2 linked regions of the Neurospora crassa OR74A genome follow. The protein of the gene in region 2 binds, or shares a complex with, the protein of the main gene of each other region. Links are inferred from orthologs where the notes say so. Each region holds a gene or a part of one and is shown on either strand. Other genes may lie near its edges. The genes, in order: NCU05305 and NCU06485.

Region 1 (8,649 bases), on a different chromosome or scaffold from region 2:
CTCTGGCAAATGCTCCTGTAGAATTTCGAAAGCTACGATGATGTTGTCCGGTAAATCTGAGATTTTAGAGTCCCTGAAATAGACGACGACCAATATCCAACCGTATCCCATGGACCTGGACTAATGGACAACTTTTCGCCAAGGCAGCATTGTACAATATATAGCTTTCTGCTTGGATGCTTAGGTGTGAGAGGGTAGGATTTCCTGTACAAATTATATAAATTGTTAGCGAACACAACACATGATTGGTCCAGAGGTGATCATAGCAAGAACGTCCGCTAGTCGCGCGGTCAAAAGAGAACACCATAATTCTTCCTCCTTGGCATACATCTGAAGAATTTCAAAACTATCAACCTCTTCGAGAAACCTTTCCTGAAACGTGTTGGAGGCTCAGTTCATCCGATTGGGTACCATAGCGTGGCTACACCAAGAGTGCAAGTAAGAACTAGCACCGGGCCGTTCCTTAGCAGAAGGAGACTGACGTGCTTCTTGGAGAGCAGAGTATATGCTGTGTCCCTGGCTTTCTCTCCCAGGTCCTTGCAATAATTCCAAGCTGTTTTTGCAATCAATATCCTATTCGGATACTACCAGTGATAGGAAGGTTTCAGTTTGTTCCAAACGAGCAAACACCTTGATGGCTGTTGACGAATGGAGCAAGTAAACAGCGGGGTAGGCCCGGGCCCGATCGACTCCGTCATCGCAGCGTGGGGTCAGACATGCAGCCGTCATCATAGAGGCACTACTGTAGCTGTTGCCCTACATCAACCCTCTTCATTCCTTCCAATAACTTGCTCCTTCTTCTGGACATCTCAAATCAACATTGCGTCTGCCTTTCAGTTCACCCATTCGACCTCCAATTAACCAGCATCACTGGCAACGTCAACATACGAGGGGCAGACTTCCTTCCACCGAGCAACCTCGCTCAACGCCCACCTGTTTCCAATCACGGACGTCATCGATGAATGGCTAGTAGACTGCCCGTCATCAAGTTGAAGCTCAACATTACCAACAGCTGTTGTCAGAAATCATCACCGCATTCCCAGAGACTCTCTACCATCATCTTTCGTTCTCTGTCGACCAAAGTCCCAAGGCTTCCCGCAACAGCTACCAATCTCGACCAGAAGATCTCCAAAACATCACCACCGCGCTACACCAAACCACCATCCATCAACCGCTGCCTCACCGGCACTACTTCAACCACCTCAACCCCCTCCTCAACAACCGCCACCAAAATGTCCACCTCCACCCCTCAACAATCCAACCGCCAACCACTCCCCTCCACCCCACCCCCCTGGCGCGCCCCCTTTCTCTCCCACCTAACCTCCCTCCCTCCCTCCTCTCGCACCTTCGTTCTCTCCACCCTCCACCCTTTACCCCCTTCCTTATCCTCCACCTCGACCCCGACCCCCGTCTCCTCCACCATCCCCGTCCTCCCCCGCGCCCGCACCTGCGTCTGCCGCAGTCTCTGGGCCCAACTCGAAGCCAACCCGCACAACCCCGCCGAGCTGAACCCTCCCGGCGTGTTCGAAAGCGACATGATCGCCTTCACCACGGACGCCCGCATGGAAAAAGCCGCCGAGATCGTCGACACGGCCTCGGAAGAGCGGATCGAAGCGGGCGGGGAGATGACGGGCGGCGGGGGGCCCGTTGAGGCCGTATTTTGGATTGAGAAGGCTAAAGACGCCCAAACAGGAGAAGACAAAAAAGTGATGACGCAGTGGCGGATCCGTGGATCAGCCTGGCTTTTGGGGCCGGACGTGGACAGTGAAGGGGCCAAGAAGGTGCGGGAGGTGTTGCGGCAGCGGATGCGCAGACTGGAGGGCAAGACACAGGAGGATGAGGAGCAATGGAGCTGGAGCAGGGAGGTTACGGCGCATTTTGGAAATTTGAATCCGGTCATGAGGGGCACGTTTCGCGGGCCGCCGCCGGGACAGCCGGTGGCGTTCCCCCCTGGAAAAGGGGAGGGGTTGGGCCAGGAGGTGGTGGATTTGCAGGATGAGGTAGCCAGAAAGAATTTCAGGGTGGTGGTGATTGTGCCGACCGAGGTGGATCAGGTGGATTTGTCGGATGCGAAGAGGGCGAGGCGGTGGTTGTATTTGTGGAGGGGAAATAGTTATCATGCGAAGGAGGCGGGCGGGGAGGTGCAGGGGGAGTGGGAGAAGGTTGAGGTTTGGCCTTAGAGGGATTGGGATTGGGATTGGTTCGTGATTTGGACTTGAGTGAGTCTTTTAGGTGTGTATTAACAGAGGAATGAATGAATAATTGAACAGTCAACATGCCATGTAACAAACGGATTACAGTGTTGGAGGATAAGTGTCTTGACTTTATGGTAGAGGCTGCGTATAGTTCTGTATTGGTCAATACAATGTCACCAGTCACTGAGTAACTCTTGAGCAATCGAATCAACAGCTCAATAACTCTGATATCTCATGCCCGATTTCAAAAGGGATTGACGAAACTTTCTTTCAGTCAGCATCCAAACACCTGAATGTTGATGATTCAGCCAGGGGCTACTTCTAGCTCAGATAAGCACTCTAATATAGTAGACTCCGTGGTGAATATACCCATTAGCAAACACAGTACCCAACTGCTCTAATCTCTCTTGTCTCAAAATTTCATAATGATAGCTCGGATATTCTCTTGTCGGTATATATCTCAAGCTACTTAGTACAAAAGCCACTCCGTAACGCCTTTCTTTCTTTGTCCTCTTTTGAATTCGAAAGAACAGAAACTGATTTCCCTGTATCCCCCATGATGCTAGAATAGTTAAGAAAAAGAAAAACGCCCAAGTGTTTTGTATTACACAACCGAACCCCTAACCCCTTCCTCCCTGTCCCGCTGGTGGCTGCCGTGCTTTCACTTCTTTCTTGCTTCGCTGCTGGCCGTCATCGTCCCCTTCCCAAGGCTTCTTATCCAGTCCTCGTCCATATAGTCATCAACTGATTCCCACCAGCCAGACCCGCGTTGGCCCGTCGAAGACCGTCCAGAGAACAAATCAAGCCTGGGGAGAGATTGGATGGATTGGTGTAGTGCCCTCCAGCCAGCCAGCCAGCCAGCCAGCCCAGCTTTGCCAACCGCACGCAACCACCCCCTTCTCTCACGCACACACGCTTGCCCCCCTTATACGCAAAGCCTGTAAGAAGCATAGCGACCCGCCGTCTCCGACACACGAATGATCTTGACGACCTGGCCCCTCTTGAGTCCCAGATACCGCGCAATCGGATCCTTGCTCAGAATTCTCGGCAGCTGCGTCTCCTTGAGTCGGTACCGCTTGAGGAGCGCGGCCTTCTCCTCCTTGGACAGCAACACGTGCTTGGGCACGAGCTCGTGGTGCGTGATGTTGACCAGCAGGTCCTCCTCCAGGAAGCACTCGACCTGTGTGTACTGCGAGGTGACGGACATGACCTTGCGGGCCTGGGCAGAAAGCGGGACGGCGGTGATGAAGATGCCGGCTTTGAACTTGTTGTCGGAGCAGTGGGTGACAAATTTCTTCATGACGGACACGCCGATGGAGCCCTTTTCGGTGCAGAACTCGACCCAGATGGTGCCGCATTCGGGAACGGGGTTGGGGTTGGAGGGCGTGGGAGGGGCGGTGAACTTTTTGATCATGGCTTCCGAGGGGCGGGCGGAGAATTGGAGCTTGGCGCGGCTGTGGTTTGGTGTCGTCATGTTAGTCTGGTGGGGAGGTGATAGTGGTTTGAGGTTTGAAATGCGACGCGTAAAGTGGTGGTGATGGAGGGGTGATGGGTGCCGACGCAGGAACTCACTTTGGTGTTCCATCCTCGTTCGTGTATTCAGCCTTGAACCGCTCGAGCGAGATCTTGACTTCGTCTTCCGCCAACTCGTAGCCCTATAGTCGAGAAGCACATGTACATGTCAGAATAGGTCGAATCATTCTGGGCGATGGCGCGTCGAGCAAGCGCCGTGATAAGGATGGATGGCGTACCCTGTCCTGAACCATCTCGTGAACAGTCCTCCAGGCCCTCCACAGACGGGAGACTTCCTTGGAGGCACTGGTGGGGCTGCTGTCGTCCTCCATTTTGACTGTGTGTGTTGGGCAGTCGATTGAAGTGTAGTGTTTGTCGTCGCGGAGTGGTGGTGATGTGGAGGTTGCGCAGGTGAGGTGGTGGTTCGCGATGGTGGATGGCGTGTTGGTGGATTGATAGCTTGGAGGACTTTCCTGTTTACGAGGCTGAAGGACAAAGGCTCTCAAAAAATTGCGGGAAGGGTGGGTGTCGCCGAAAACCAGAGGCGTGGCCGCATTGATCAGACCTAACGCCCGGGCACTCCAGGATTCCACGCCGGCCGATAAGAGATGGATGGGTCCACAGTGAGCCGGAGGCTGCCTTCACCCCTGTGAGACACTACAAGTAAGCGCGCAGATGGTCTGTGCTGTTGACCGTTGACCGGCTTCTGATTCAGGCAGGCAGTTTGTTGAAGTCGTGAAAGACCTAGGAGGAACAGTGATGGCGTGCGCTGGTTTTATGCATGACTGGAAAAGCGGACATACACTTCAAGTTGCGTTTCCGGTACATACATGATAGTACACAAAATTAATTCTCCTCGGCCAACTACCTATATAAACCTCTTCCATGATCCATATATGTTCCATGAGGGACATTGCTGGGCAAAGTGAAGTGAACTTAGTGAAGAGCCAATTCAACCTATCATCATCATCCTCCAACCAACCAACCAACCAACCAACCAACCAACCAGCGCACCATATGTACTTGGTAGGGTAGGTAGTAGCGCACAGGCCAAGACGGTGACACGCGTGACACGGTGTCGGGGAAAGGCCACGATCTGCAGATCTGGAACACGCCTGAAGCGGGACAAATTTTGGAATTTTTTGGAACTGGCGACGGGACTGTGAATTGAGGGTTCAAAGTGACCAAAGTTAGGTTAGTTCCCGTTCAATTGTCAATTTGGATGCGGGCAAAACAGATCAGGCATTGACAGCACCCGCACTACCTAGCCATTGTTCTCCCCAGGGCAGTCTGGACCCCATCTTCCACTACACATCCACATAACCACATCTCAAAGCAGCGATTACCCCAGAGGTACATCCTATCCTACAGGACCCGAACAGCGGTCCTCGGACGTGCACTGCCTTCCACTTCCCATCCTTCCTCAGGTCGCCCGCGGCTGTTCTACACTAAGTAGCTCTCCAACCAACCTACCCACCGGCTCCGACCCACGCCCCCCGGTTGCCTAGTCCCCCTTCCCCGTCTTTATCTTACTATTCCCTTCCTTTCGTCTCTTCTTCCTTCTTCTTTTTTTCCTTCAGCAACCCCCAACACCACACACAATGGCCGAGTCGCAATCCCCCGCTGCCGCCCCTGCGGCCACCACCAAGCCTCACAAGCCTGATCAGGATGCCTTCAACGAGAACCTCGCCAAGGCCGAGAAGGAGTATCAGGAGGCCCTGAAGAAATACGTGAGTCCCCTGCCCTGGCCGCTACCAAGAGCGCATCTACCCGATACCGTGGAGTCAGAGCACCCGCCCTCGCACTCACGATGCACCCTGCCGTCCACGCCACCCTCACCACCACCACGTCTTTTGCTACTAGAAGCTGCTGCCTCCAATTGCCATGTGACAAGGCCAGACTAACCAATTGTCCTTGAATCCAGAACGAGATCAAGGCCAAGGTTGAGCTCGCCGCTCCTAGCAAGAACAAGGACCAGCCCAGCCCCACCCAGAAGAAGCGCCAGGAGCTCATCTCCCAGCTCAACGAGATCCGTCAGCAGCAGGCCGGTGGCAAGAATGCCCGCACCTCCAAGCTCGACCAGATCAAGCGCCTCGATGAGCAGCTCCGCAGCCGCATTGCCGAGCAAAAGACTGCCCGCAGCAAGGTCAACTTCAAGTCCACCGAGGAACTCGACCGCGAGATTGAGCGCCTGGAGAAGGAGGTCAACGGCGGCATGATGAAGCTCGTCGACGAGAAGAAGGCCCTCGCCGAGATCTCCAACCTCCGCAAGCAGCGCAAGAGCTTTGCTGGCTTCGACGATGCCCAGAAGCAGATCGACGACCTCAAGGCCAAGATCAAGGAGATCAAGGACAGCTTGGAGGACCCCGAGGCCAAGGCCCTCAGCGAAAAGTACAACAAGCTCCAGGCCGAGCTTGACGCCATCAAGGCCGAGCAGGACGAGGCCTACAAGAACCTCTCCAGCCTGCGCGACGAGCGCACCAAGCTCCAGCAGCTCCAGTCTGAAAAGTACCAGGCCATCAAGAAGCTCAAGGATGAGTACTACGGCGCTAAGAAGGAGTTCGCCAAGTGGGAGCGTGAGCAGCGCGAGAAGGCTCGCGAGAGACAGCAGGCCGAGCGTGAGCGCATCGCCAAGGAGCGCCGCATGGAGCGTGCCCAGAAGATGCTTGCCGAGGCTTCTGACCCCGCCTACCTCGAGGAGATCCGCCGTGCCAACTCTCTCCTCAAGTACTTCGACCCCAGCCACGAGGTCGCCGAGAAGGCTCCTCTCCTGGCCGACAAGGGTCTCGGTGCCCAGGCTCTTCGTAAGGTTGACGACTCTGGCCTCAAGGGCATGAAGCTCGTCCGCAAGGAGGAGCGTGATGACGACTACCTCCCTGCCGTCAAGAAGGGCAAGAAGTCCAAGAAGCCCACCGGTGCTGCCCCTGTCGCCACCGGCAAGACCTTCAGCCTCCCTCCCTCGGTCATTGAGGACTGCAGCTTCGTCGGTGTCGAGCCCCCCATGGCTGCTACCGATATCCCTGCTGCCGTCGAGAAGATCAAGGCCAAGCTCGAGCAGTGGAAGGCTGACCAGCCTGAGCAGACTCGCAAGGTATGTTGATATTGTTTCGTTCCTGTTGAACTAGCCGTTGCTAACAATGCCGCTTGCAGAACATTGAGAAGGCCAAGAAGGAGATTGAGCGCCTCGAGGCTGAGGAGGCCGGTGAGGCTTCCGGCTCTGCCACCCCCAAGAAGGCCGTCGAGGAGGTCACCGAGGGCGTCAAGAACGCCACCATTGAAGAGAAGACTGAGGCTGTCGAGGCTTCCGCATAGAAGCGCCGCCATCGACGTCACGGATCGTCTCGTTCTCTGACATTTGGGAAGCCATGATTTGAGGGGGACCAGGACTCCGACGAGGTTCAGGTTGCCAGGTTAAGCGGGTATTTGGGTCCTGTCATCCCTCTTTTTCATCCCTACCACTACCGTCCGTTGCCCACAACGACGTCACAGCCGTGTCAGATGTTGTGCGCATCTATCCCGGCACATTATCATTCGCATATATATCGCCGATATTCATCCTTTTTTTTGCCTTAGTGGTTGGTCTCTTCAGTTATCACCACCCTGGTCTGTTCCATCAAATGTTGTTAGCATGCTTTTTGGGGTACAGAAAAGGGGGGAAATGTTCGGGAATTCAAAATACGGGGTGGCATTCTTAACTCAACCTCACCTTCACACGCAAAAGACTTTAATAGCTGGACTCGTCCGAACCTGCTCCCTAACGTATAAGGTATCGAGGTGATGTTTCTGGTGGTTGGTGAACATAAGGGAATCGAAAAACGAAGGACAGCACGCAAACTGAGGTATCGCAGGCCCCGAAACAAAGCACGGCCAGGTGTGGGAGTGGAAGAGACTGGCGGGAACATGTGAAAAGGACTCTTGGGATAGCTTAGATACGAGAGTGGAAAACAAGAGGGACATTGATACCCATCTTCCACACTCGCACTTCCATACCTCCTCCTGACCGTCAAGTGCCATTGGATGTTTGCTTTCATTGACTGCTTGCCTGCCATGTTCCGTCAACCTCAAATACCAACAACCATCATCCTTCCTCGCTTCTCACCGCAACGACAGCTGTCAACGATAAAAGATAGTTACCTTACCTATCCACGAGTGTCAGTGTGTTTAGAAATAGAATCCACTCGCCCGACTGGTCTGCGTTTCCAGCGGAACCCGAATAGCGTAAATCACAACAAACAGTATTGTTACAACCCAAGCAAATAAGCCGAGTGAGAGTAACAGAAAAAAAAAAAAAAAAAAAAAAAAAATTACTCCTGACGTTCTCAAGCACATTGGCACACACAGAGCAGACGGGACACACGCCGATAGCGGCCCAACAAAAAACGTCCCGAGTGTCCCCGTGCACACTGTCCATGTCCGTCCTTTGTCTCTTCCTATCTCTATGCTATCTATTAGGATACACGTAGAAGTACAGACAGGTACTTGGAGGTTCCCTTTCATGTGAGCCGGGCAATCTTCTCGAGACCCTTACTTAACCTTTTTGAAGAATCAAAAGGTGAGGTAGGTACCTACTTAGGAGACTAGGTAGCTAGCGATATTATCCTACTTGATAGGTTTGTAAACATTGGGTGTCAAATCGACATGTGAAGTTTCAGTTTCGTACAATGTTTTTTTTAATTGATTATATTGGTTTAGTCATAAACCCACCCAATATTTGATGTCAAAGAAAGGGGGGGGGGGAAAGTTTCTAGTAGGGACTTGTACTGATGATGTACATTACTACAGATTTAGTTGGACTGACTGGATTTCCAATGACTGGATTTACTGGATTCATTGGATTCATGACATGACTGGATTTACTGGATTTGTTGGATCTATAGTATGATATAAATGCATGCTAATCCCATACCTCTACCTCTATCTCTACCGGTATATCCCTAGAGGT
Region 2 (8,847 bases):
ACGATGTGCTCTGATACCGCCGGCCCCCCATCCTTCGTCCTCGGAGGGATGCGATGGGTCAGAGTCAATCCACAAACCTGGCTGGTGTTGTGGTCTTTGACTAGTCCGCCGGGTTTGAACTGTCAGCGGAGATGAAAACCAGCTTTTGGCGCTTAGTGGGTGATCTGTGTCTTCCTCTTCTCGTTGTTGATGGGCTGATGATAAGGTGTGACACGAAAGGAAAGGAGTCGGGTCCCTCTGAAAGTGTGGCGAAATCTTAGCACTGGCGTCTTCGTCTTCTTCCTCCTCCTCCCCCATAGGCTCTGCCGCCGTACCAAGTTCTTGTTCTCCATTCCCATTATGCGCATCAGTGGTCGCATCGAGCTTTTCGATGAAAGGAGCGAGCCGAATCTTCCTAGGCTCCCACGAAGCTGCATTATCGCCTTCAAGACGTCTGAAGAGACTGTCATCTTCCTCGGGCTCGCATATCCAGGGATGAGTAAGAGCTTGGCGCGCCGTGAGCCGGTGTTTGCTGTTGTAGGTGAGACATCCGCGAATGAAGTCCTTTGCATGGCTTGAGATGTTTTCATCTGGACGGAGGCGGGAGGTTTGAGGGTCAATGGGCTCATTGTCATTGCCGTAGTCTTCATCGCCATCTTGAACAGCAATGTCACAGCCGAGGTCATTGAGGATGATGTTGAGGTAGCGGTCGATTCTGTCTTGGCTGGTAAAATCGAGATGACGAAGATTCGGAAGTTCTTGGAATCCAGAGAAAAGCTGAAGGCAAAGCATCCCAATGGACCAGATGTCGACAGACAATGAATGACCTCGCTCGGAGTTATAGCATTCGCTGAATCAAGCGTTAGCATTGCTCTCAACAATCCAGTGACATATGTCAACCCAGGAGGGGAAGTGCGAAACTCACGGGGCGCGATAGAAGGTTGTTCCAACCTCGGACCTTAATCTTCCACGGTTCGTAACAGCCGAGTCCCCAAAATCGGAGAGAACAAGCCTGTAGGAGACATTTGGCGCTATGGCACAGAGAATATTCTCTGGCTTGATGTCTCGATGTGCGACCCCCTTGTTGTGGATGTAGTCAACAGCATTGAGGGTCTGGCGTATGATCCAGCGTATTTCTAGCTCGGGGAGTGCCCCCTCGCGTGATAGAAGTGAGAAGAGATCGCCACCAGTAGCCAGCTCTGTAAAGATATACCTAGAGATACATTAGTTGCCCAACCCTGCTAGCTGCTCGTGATGAAGGTCTTACACCGAATGCTCTGATTCGAAGGCAGCCTTGATGGAAAGAATATTCGGCTGACGACTTTTGTTAGCTTGATCCATCGTCCCGTGCCCTTTCAATGACTTACGTGATCGAGGTAGCTCAACAGCATTGCCTCCTGCTTGATCCGACGGAGTATCTGGTGTGACCGGGGCCGTCTATCTAAGTTGTGCACTTTGCAAGCCACCTGCTGCCCTGTCAAGACATCTGTGGCTAGGTAGACCACAGCATGGGCACCGTTTCCTAATGTGCGGTCTTCCACAAGGTATCGGTTCTCAAGGAGCTGGATGTTGCTAAGTCAGATCATGGCATGTTTTATTTTCGTCGCACGCCAAGATAACAATAGTACCTTGAGCTCCTCTCGCTGGCGTGCAGTGAGCCGCAAAAACGAAGTTCCCTGCTCGAGCTGAACGAACTTGAAAGTGATGTAAGGATATATGGAGATGACATCCCCATTCTGGAGTAGTCTTCCCGGAGTGATGTCTGGCTTCTTCCCAACGCACTTTTTGTTGAGCAGAGTCCCGTTGGAAGACTGTCGGTCTCGCACAAACACAAGTGATGTATGGCGACCTTCTTCGTCAACAGTGATAGAATACAGCTCAAAGTGGTTTCTTGAGACAGTGGAATCGACAAAGACAACGTCATTATTATCTCGGTCCGTGTCACGACCAATTCTGACTGTCTGGTTTGGCCAGATGTAAAAGCCGCCTGGACTTGCGACACGAAAGTTAGGGAGCACTGGTTGGAGGAGACCAGCGAGGGATACATCACAGTATTCACGATCACTTCAGGGAAATGACAGATACCTACCTCTTGTAGGAGGAGCAGTGCTAGTGTCTTCGAAGGAAACACTTGCCACAGGCGGTTGCGACATATCAAACCAGCTGTCAACACCGAGACACGGAAAACAAAGGATAATGATAATGATAAAGCCGGCAATGTCAACGTTCACTCATGTATGCGTTGATGTCGTCACTTGCGTCCGTAGATAGTGTTGACTATTCATGGCCCACCGTGGCTTTGCGTATTGAGAAGTAGAAGTAGGTAAAGGTTGGGAACGACACTCAGAGTTCAAGATCACAGGACGAGATTGGAAGAGTGAGTTGGTGCCTTGAGGATCGACTCCTCCTTCCCATGTCCAGCTATCGTGAAAATCTTTTTATGCAGACAGGTCGTGCCTTCCTTTGACCTGGACGGGTGCAGCTTGCAAGTGAAGTGAAAGTGCAGTGTCCATTAGTAGGAGCGGGAGGCAGGCTCGCTCGTTGGAGGACGAGACGGGAGTCGATCTCCGAGCCGAGCTTCTGATGCAGTCCAGCTGAAGCTCCCGTCCGTCAGCGGGAGCTTGGGCCACCTAGGGCAAAGGTCGCACCCCGCACGGACCGCATCCAAACAAAGAGCGGCAGGCCTGGGCAATTTGGGCCTGCGTCACCTGACTTACCCCACAGGGCTGCTTGCCCTGGAGCCCTATGAGATAAAAGTTCCCCCTCTCCATTCGCAAGTTGAAACTCTTTCCCATCACCAACAAGCAAAACTCATCTTTAAATCCAAGATGTACGCGCTCCCGCCCCCCAGCATTTGCTTGCCCGCCTACTGACATACAAGCAGTTCAAGATGAGAGCGAAGTGGAGAAAGAAGCGCGTGAGACGCCTTAAGCGCAAGAGAAGAAAGATGAGAGCGAGATCGTAAGTTTCACCATCGGCGCATCGACAGTTGATGCAGCTACAATCGCCACTCAGGAGCATATAAGCTGACTCGATCCCAGCAAATAAACGCCTCGCCTCACTCGACCCAATCAGCTCTTGACATTATCCTCTAAGCCATTAGACAACTTGGGCTCGGTGTCGACTCCTCCCCTCAGCGCGGAATGACGCCACATCGGTCGCTCTGAAACCTTGCGGTGATCAGGCGAACTCAGGGTTCCTACGGAACATGCACCCCTCGGGACATGCTGCACATCAAACTGTGGCACACATAGAACGGAACTGTTTGGTGGCGGATATGGTATTGGCTGGTTGCCTGTCAACTTCATGGTTGAGTAGCAACAAGGTGTTTACGGATCAACGCCGGTGGGAGCAAACTGTCTAGTTTGGAGACGCGAATTCGGGATACCCGTCGCAGCAACAATAAAGGCCGCTTCGCTTCATGATACACTTCTCTGCATCTGTGACAAACGGGACTGCATGTCTTGGATCAATTGTTTCTGTCGACAACATGGTCATCTGCCCTCGAACAGGTGACATGGCATTTGCACACAAAGGGAATACCAATTTTTGCAACATCAGTGAACATTTTCAACGACGGGGAAGGCAGTGGCCTGCATGCACGAGGGCATAGAAATCGCGTCCCAAGCCTTGGTTTGCCTTGTGACTTGGACTGAACCCCTCCATGTCTGGTTGATTGTTTTAGCACGCGTGCGGCTTGCTATTCTTCATCTCTCCAAGCAATTTAACAGCAAACCAATAGCAATTGATTTCATAGCATGAAGATTTCGCGCTTCGTAGTATTTCAACACAAATCATCAAACATATTGCATCGTCGTCATCAAATGTGGTGTGTCGATTGTAAAGGCGGTAACTGATACCGGACCCCGGCAGGCGGCAGAATTTTTTTCTGGCTGCGGGATCCACTCGGAAGTTCAGACAGCGACTCTCCAGCTGCATGATCCATTTGATTTGGCGGGACTTCACGACTCTACACTACCCCAGCACCTTTGTAGCCCGCAAACACCACCATGGGAAGCTCATCAGACAAGAAGCGCAAGAGCGCTGAGGATACAACACCCCAAATCAAGAAGAAGAAGGTCGACTCCGAGAAATCGTCCAAGTCGCCCAAGTTCATCAATGTCGGAGCTGTGAAGAGGCCGCAGTATGCGCCTCCGGTCGTGGGTAAGCACATGTTGATCGGCTGAAACCATGGCCGTCAAGTCCAATGGAGGAAGACTCTAACATGCGCTCCTAGCCGCGACCTCGGGACTCGCTCTCTCTTCGTCCATACAATTTCAAGCCTACGCCACACCAGCCGACAAGACCTCGAAGCGCAAGAAGAATGGCGCGCCCGCACAAGAGTTGCTGCTGCACTCTGCCAACCACCGGACGATGGACTACACAGCTCGCGAAGATAGGACAGGAGACTCGTCCGACCCATACCTGAAGCACTACATTGGCATCTTCAACCCCAAAACCGCCGAGGTTGAGATTGTAGAGGCGCGCAAGATGGTGCTCCGTGGCACAGTTAGGTCGCAGAAGGCGGTTGACGAGGCAATGGAAGAGAAGACTCAGAAACAGGTAAGCCTGGAAGTAGTGGTCAGGGGCATAAAACCAGACTGACGGTGCAACAGCAAATGATGGCCATGAGGAACGAGCTCGGCGAGGCATTCGGTACTAAGAAGGCGAAGAAGGCGATCCGCGACGTGACGGAGAACGCCATTACATCTCAAAAGGTTGGCCAGAGCGAGCTGGTGATGATGGACGCCATCAAGACCGCCACCAAGGACATGTCGACCAAGGAAGACCTTCAAGCCGCTGTCGACAACGCCCGACCGGTACCGCGCGGCAACTTCAATGCCGATGAAATCGCAGACGTCTACGTACCATCCCAAATTATCGGATCCGAGGTCCTGAACGCGATACCAGTGATGGATTGGCAGGAGAGCGTCAAGAACCTAGAAGACATCCAGGTACCTTCGCGCTTTGTCGCCAAGCGCGTTTCCAACGTAGCAAGCAGCGACGACGCGGTGCACAGATTGAGGGTACTGCGGTACCTCTTGTTCGTCATCATTTTCTGGAATGCCACCTCGCAAGGAAGGGAGCGTGGCACAAGAAGCATTGGTAAGAGGGATAAGCTGCGCGAGGTTATGGCACCAGCGCCCGAGATCGTGATTGAAAACATCCGCCGCAAGTTCTCGGACGGCGGAGTCATGCGCAAGACACACGTTGACCTTCTGATGACGCACTGCTGCGCATTTGCCGCCATCATCGACGGCTTCAGGGTCAACACGATTGACTTGAGAGAAGATCTGAAGCTGGAGCAGAAGCAGCTCAACCAATACTTTATCGAGATTGGAGCTCGCGTCAAGCAACAGAAGGTCGCTGACAAGATGGAGAACTTTGCCGTCCTGCAACTGCCTCTTCAGTTTCCCAAGATCAGACTGCCGGCACGGAAGAGGTAAACCACGCTTTGCTGAGCCGGACCCACGGCCACGGATCATATCATCAAGTTTAGTTGGATTGTGCGCATTGCACATCATCCACCCAGTCCTACATTGGACATCTTGGCGCTTACGTTTGGAAGTACCCTACGAAGTGCTGAGAAAAGGCATGCTTTTTGCGAGAGAAGCGATCATCCAGCTCAGTTGGAAGTCTGGCCGCTTCCAGCCTGTAACCACCATGGTGTGTTGTTGAGACACACCCAAGCGACACCCAGGCGCTGGCCAATCAAAATTCCAAGCGCCTAATCGAGAGGAGGCCATGACCTGTACCGCACTATTTGAGCATCTTGCCGAGGTATACATCAGTTATTTTGTGGTTCGGGCAGTAAAAGCTAGGCTAGAAAGCATATATCATTGTATAGACAATGTAGAGAATAGTCATGGAAATTGATGGGCCATAAGAAGTATGGCGGGAAGCTTGTCCCTCAGTCTTTATCAAGCTCTGAATGGGGTCAAAGAGATGACATTGAAATCTAGGAAAAGGGTCACCCCACAAAAAGCTGGCCCCCCTGGGTTCTGGTTCTCAAGTGCCTCAACGCTTGGCCAACCCCTTTGTGTTTGTTTACTACTGATATCCGCACGGACCCAATAACGAAGATGGGAACTGATGACGGGCTTCGAGATGAGTAATGGGGCAGAGATGATCATTAACCTGAACCAGCTAACGCCAGTTGATGTGCAAAATCAGAACCACGAACGTCAAGCTAACATATGTAACAGGAAGAATGTCCGCGGCAAATCCTACGCAGATATCAGAGCAGCCGACGGCCAGGCTAGAAGAAAACAAGATGAAAAGGTAGTTATATGGCTGCCCTGGATGGGCATCCGCCCAGGCGTCACCTTCTACCGTTGTCCCCTTTCGCTGGCCGCTGGCCGCTGGCCGCCCCGCGGTGTGAGACGCCGTCGGTGGTAGGTAGGGCTGGGCCGAAGCCGATCACCCCACGATGAAGTTCCTTCCCCTTGTGCCTCCCCAAAGCGTCCCCGACTTTGTCCGTCCTCCCCGTTTCCCCTGGCCCATTGCCTTGACCATCCCATCGTCCGTGTGCCGGCCGCTGCTTGTGCTTCCCCTCGCTCCAGTCCAGTCCCCTTAAGTTGGACCCCTTGGCGTTGTGCAGAGTGAAGGCGCTTGAGCCGCATTCGAAAGCCACGTGGGGAAAATCCCCACCGAGCGACCAGAGCCAGTGCAGTTTTCCTCACCGGCACCCACCCCGACCAGCTTAAATGGTATGACGACATTGCCTCTTTTAAAGAGCTTTTGGGATCTTCAACTGAGACGCGTCTCACTCTCAACGACCATTTTCCACAGATTATTTTGCTCTCTAAATTGCGGCTTCAATTTTGCATTTACACACTCAATGCACCTTTCCCAATGCTGTCTGATGTCTCTGCTTTCAATCTGAGCAGCCATTCTCTGCAATTTTGTGTTGGTGACAGCGACAATACGAGTGCTCAATTCACGACGCGTCAAAGTTGGGTCGACGGGCGAATTGTCGGGGCAGGGGGTACTTTGCGATTTTTTCTGAGGTGATTCGCAATGCCGGGGCTGGTGCCTGCAGCGCATGGACCAGCTTTTGTGGTCTCTGGGCGTGCTGATTGGCCAGGACGGTGCCAACCAGCGCCTTTCTTCCAGTTCCAGTTTCATTCCAGTTCACAGTTCCGCGAACGACCTACCTGGTAATGAAGGGAACGAACGCGACCGACCGACCGCTGACTGTCCACCTTCTTGCCTCCCGTCTGCCGCACCCCAGGCAGCTCACCACGCTCATTCACTCACCACCTCAACTCCAGTGACACTTCTTTCACGCCAGTCCTAGGTAGTCTTTGCCCCTGCTTCTGGCCTCCCTCCCGTCCTGCCTTCCTTCTGCACAACCTACCTACAATTCACGGCATCTGACCGACTGCACTCGATATCTCCCGCCGAGGTGAAGCTACTTATCCATCCAGCTTCGCGACTTTCAACTATAACGACTGGAGTTTGCTTCAAGTCCTCTCCTCTCGGGAAGTTATGCGCGCGCGCGAGAGGATTTGCACCACACTGCTGCCTCCCTTCACTACTACAACCTCTACATAACATACTAGCTCGGCACCAAGACCGGCACCGCAGTCCGACTTCAACTCCCCAGCGAGCAGTCTAGTCTAGTGCCGGGCGTGTGTTCGCGTGTGTGTGCGTGTCTGCTGCCGTGTGTGTGTGTGTGTATGCATATTGCATTACCCAAAGAAAAAAAAAAAGAAGCATCGTCGCATCAGTCGTCGCATTCTACCAAATCCTCCTACCTGCCCAGTGCCTCTCCTAGATGCCCTTCGACTCTCTGTCTGGCTCTACCTCAATTGCGCCCTTGGATAGGTTTTGCTCTGTCCAAACCTCAAGGCAACTTCGACCTGAACTAAAGTGCTCCGTCGATGCAGCGGTACATCCCACCTCCTGTTAGTCGTCAACCTGACAGCAAGGTGAGAGCCGACCGAGTGTTGACCCAATTTCACCCCCCCACGGCACCTAGGTCCATACCAGACAGAACATAAATCTGTATGTGGCTCTCTTTTTTTCTGGTTGTTCAGTTGCCTCTTTCCATCCCGTCCCTTTGCTCCCACTTCCCATTGCTTCCCTTGACCTGTTGACGCATCCTGTTTTGCTCTGCACGGCACACACGGACCTAACACGACTTATTCATGCAGGCTGCTAGATATTGAATAGCTGTTATCAATAAACATCGCATCGAAATAGCCAGTCGCAAGCTCAACAATTCACCAACCGCTAGCTTTTTGCCCCCATTCTCGCCATCGGACGGAATAGGCACCCCATCGGAATCCACCCTACTATTGTCCACCACCAACCCCAGTCCTATTCAGAGCTATTCGTTGCAGCACTTATTGGACCACATTATACCTAGCCGTTTTGCCCCCACCAACAATCTGCTATGTCTAAGCGTAAAAAGGACTTTCTCACGGATTTCGACCCTAACAAATCCGATCCCGAAGACGAAAACTTCGACCCCATTGCCGAAAAGCAACGAACCCCGCGAAGTGCAAGGAAGCAAGCAAACACCCGCCGCCCAAAGAACCGAGGCGCTGCTGGCGGCGCGCGCAGGCGGAACAGCCGATACAAAGGATCCGACATCGAAGACGACGAAGATATCAGCGACAGCGAACAAGACATCTCTTTCGGTGAAGAGGAAGACGAGGAAGAAGAAGAAGACTCGGACGCTCCTGTCAACGCTACGGGCAGGCGGATGCGCCAGGCTGCCGCACGACACCAATCGTACAGGGAAAGCAGTGAAGACGAAGACGGGATCCAGTCGTCTGACCAAGACAAAGACGTCGTCCAGGAGCCCGACGAAGAACATAGAGTGCCTTCGATAGAGTCTCCTGAACAGAGTCCCAGCAA

Evidence for each region.
Region 1: NCU06485 (region 2) and NCU05305 share a complex: the UniProt entries of both Saccharomyces cerevisiae proteins name them as parts of the RNA polymerase I (Pol I) complex. The link is inferred for Neurospora crassa OR74A from reciprocal best matches to the Saccharomyces cerevisiae genes RPA49 and RPB5.

Annotation. Positions count from the first base shown.
Region 1 is NC_026504.1:5,393,558-5,402,206, forward strand, and holds NCU05305 (DNA-directed RNA polymerase II polypeptide), read right to left. Parts: upstream 4,282-8,649; 5' UTR 4,040-4,281; coding exon 3,947-4,039; intron 3,851-3,946; coding exon 3,768-3,850; intron 3,650-3,767; coding exon 3,121-3,649; 3' UTR 2,501-3,120; downstream 1-2,500. Other genes in the region: NCU05306 (hypothetical protein), read left to right, coding at 963-2,180; NCU05304 (nuclear segregation protein), read left to right, coding at 5,309-5,437, 5,632-6,798, 6,858-7,019. UniProt on the Saccharomyces cerevisiae protein: DNA-dependent RNA polymerases catalyze the transcription of DNA into RNA using the four ribonucleoside triphosphates as substrates.
Region 2 is NC_026503.1:1,579,781-1,588,627, reverse strand, and holds NCU06485 (hypothetical protein), read left to right. Parts: upstream 1-3,916; 5' UTR 3,917-3,989; coding exon 3,990-4,143; intron 4,144-4,216; coding exon 4,217-4,542; intron 4,543-4,595; coding exon 4,596-5,426; 3' UTR 5,427-5,950; downstream 5,951-8,847. Other genes in the region: stk-43 (serine/threonine protein kinase-43), read right to left, coding at 1-829, 905-1,192, 1,247-1,293, 1,347-1,541, 1,608-1,966, 2,069-2,132; NCU06484 (hypothetical protein), read left to right, coding at 8,381-8,847. UniProt on the Saccharomyces cerevisiae protein: DNA-dependent RNA polymerases catalyze the transcription of DNA into RNA using the four ribonucleoside triphosphates as substrates. Component of RNA polymerase I (Pol I) which synthesizes ribosomal RNA precursors.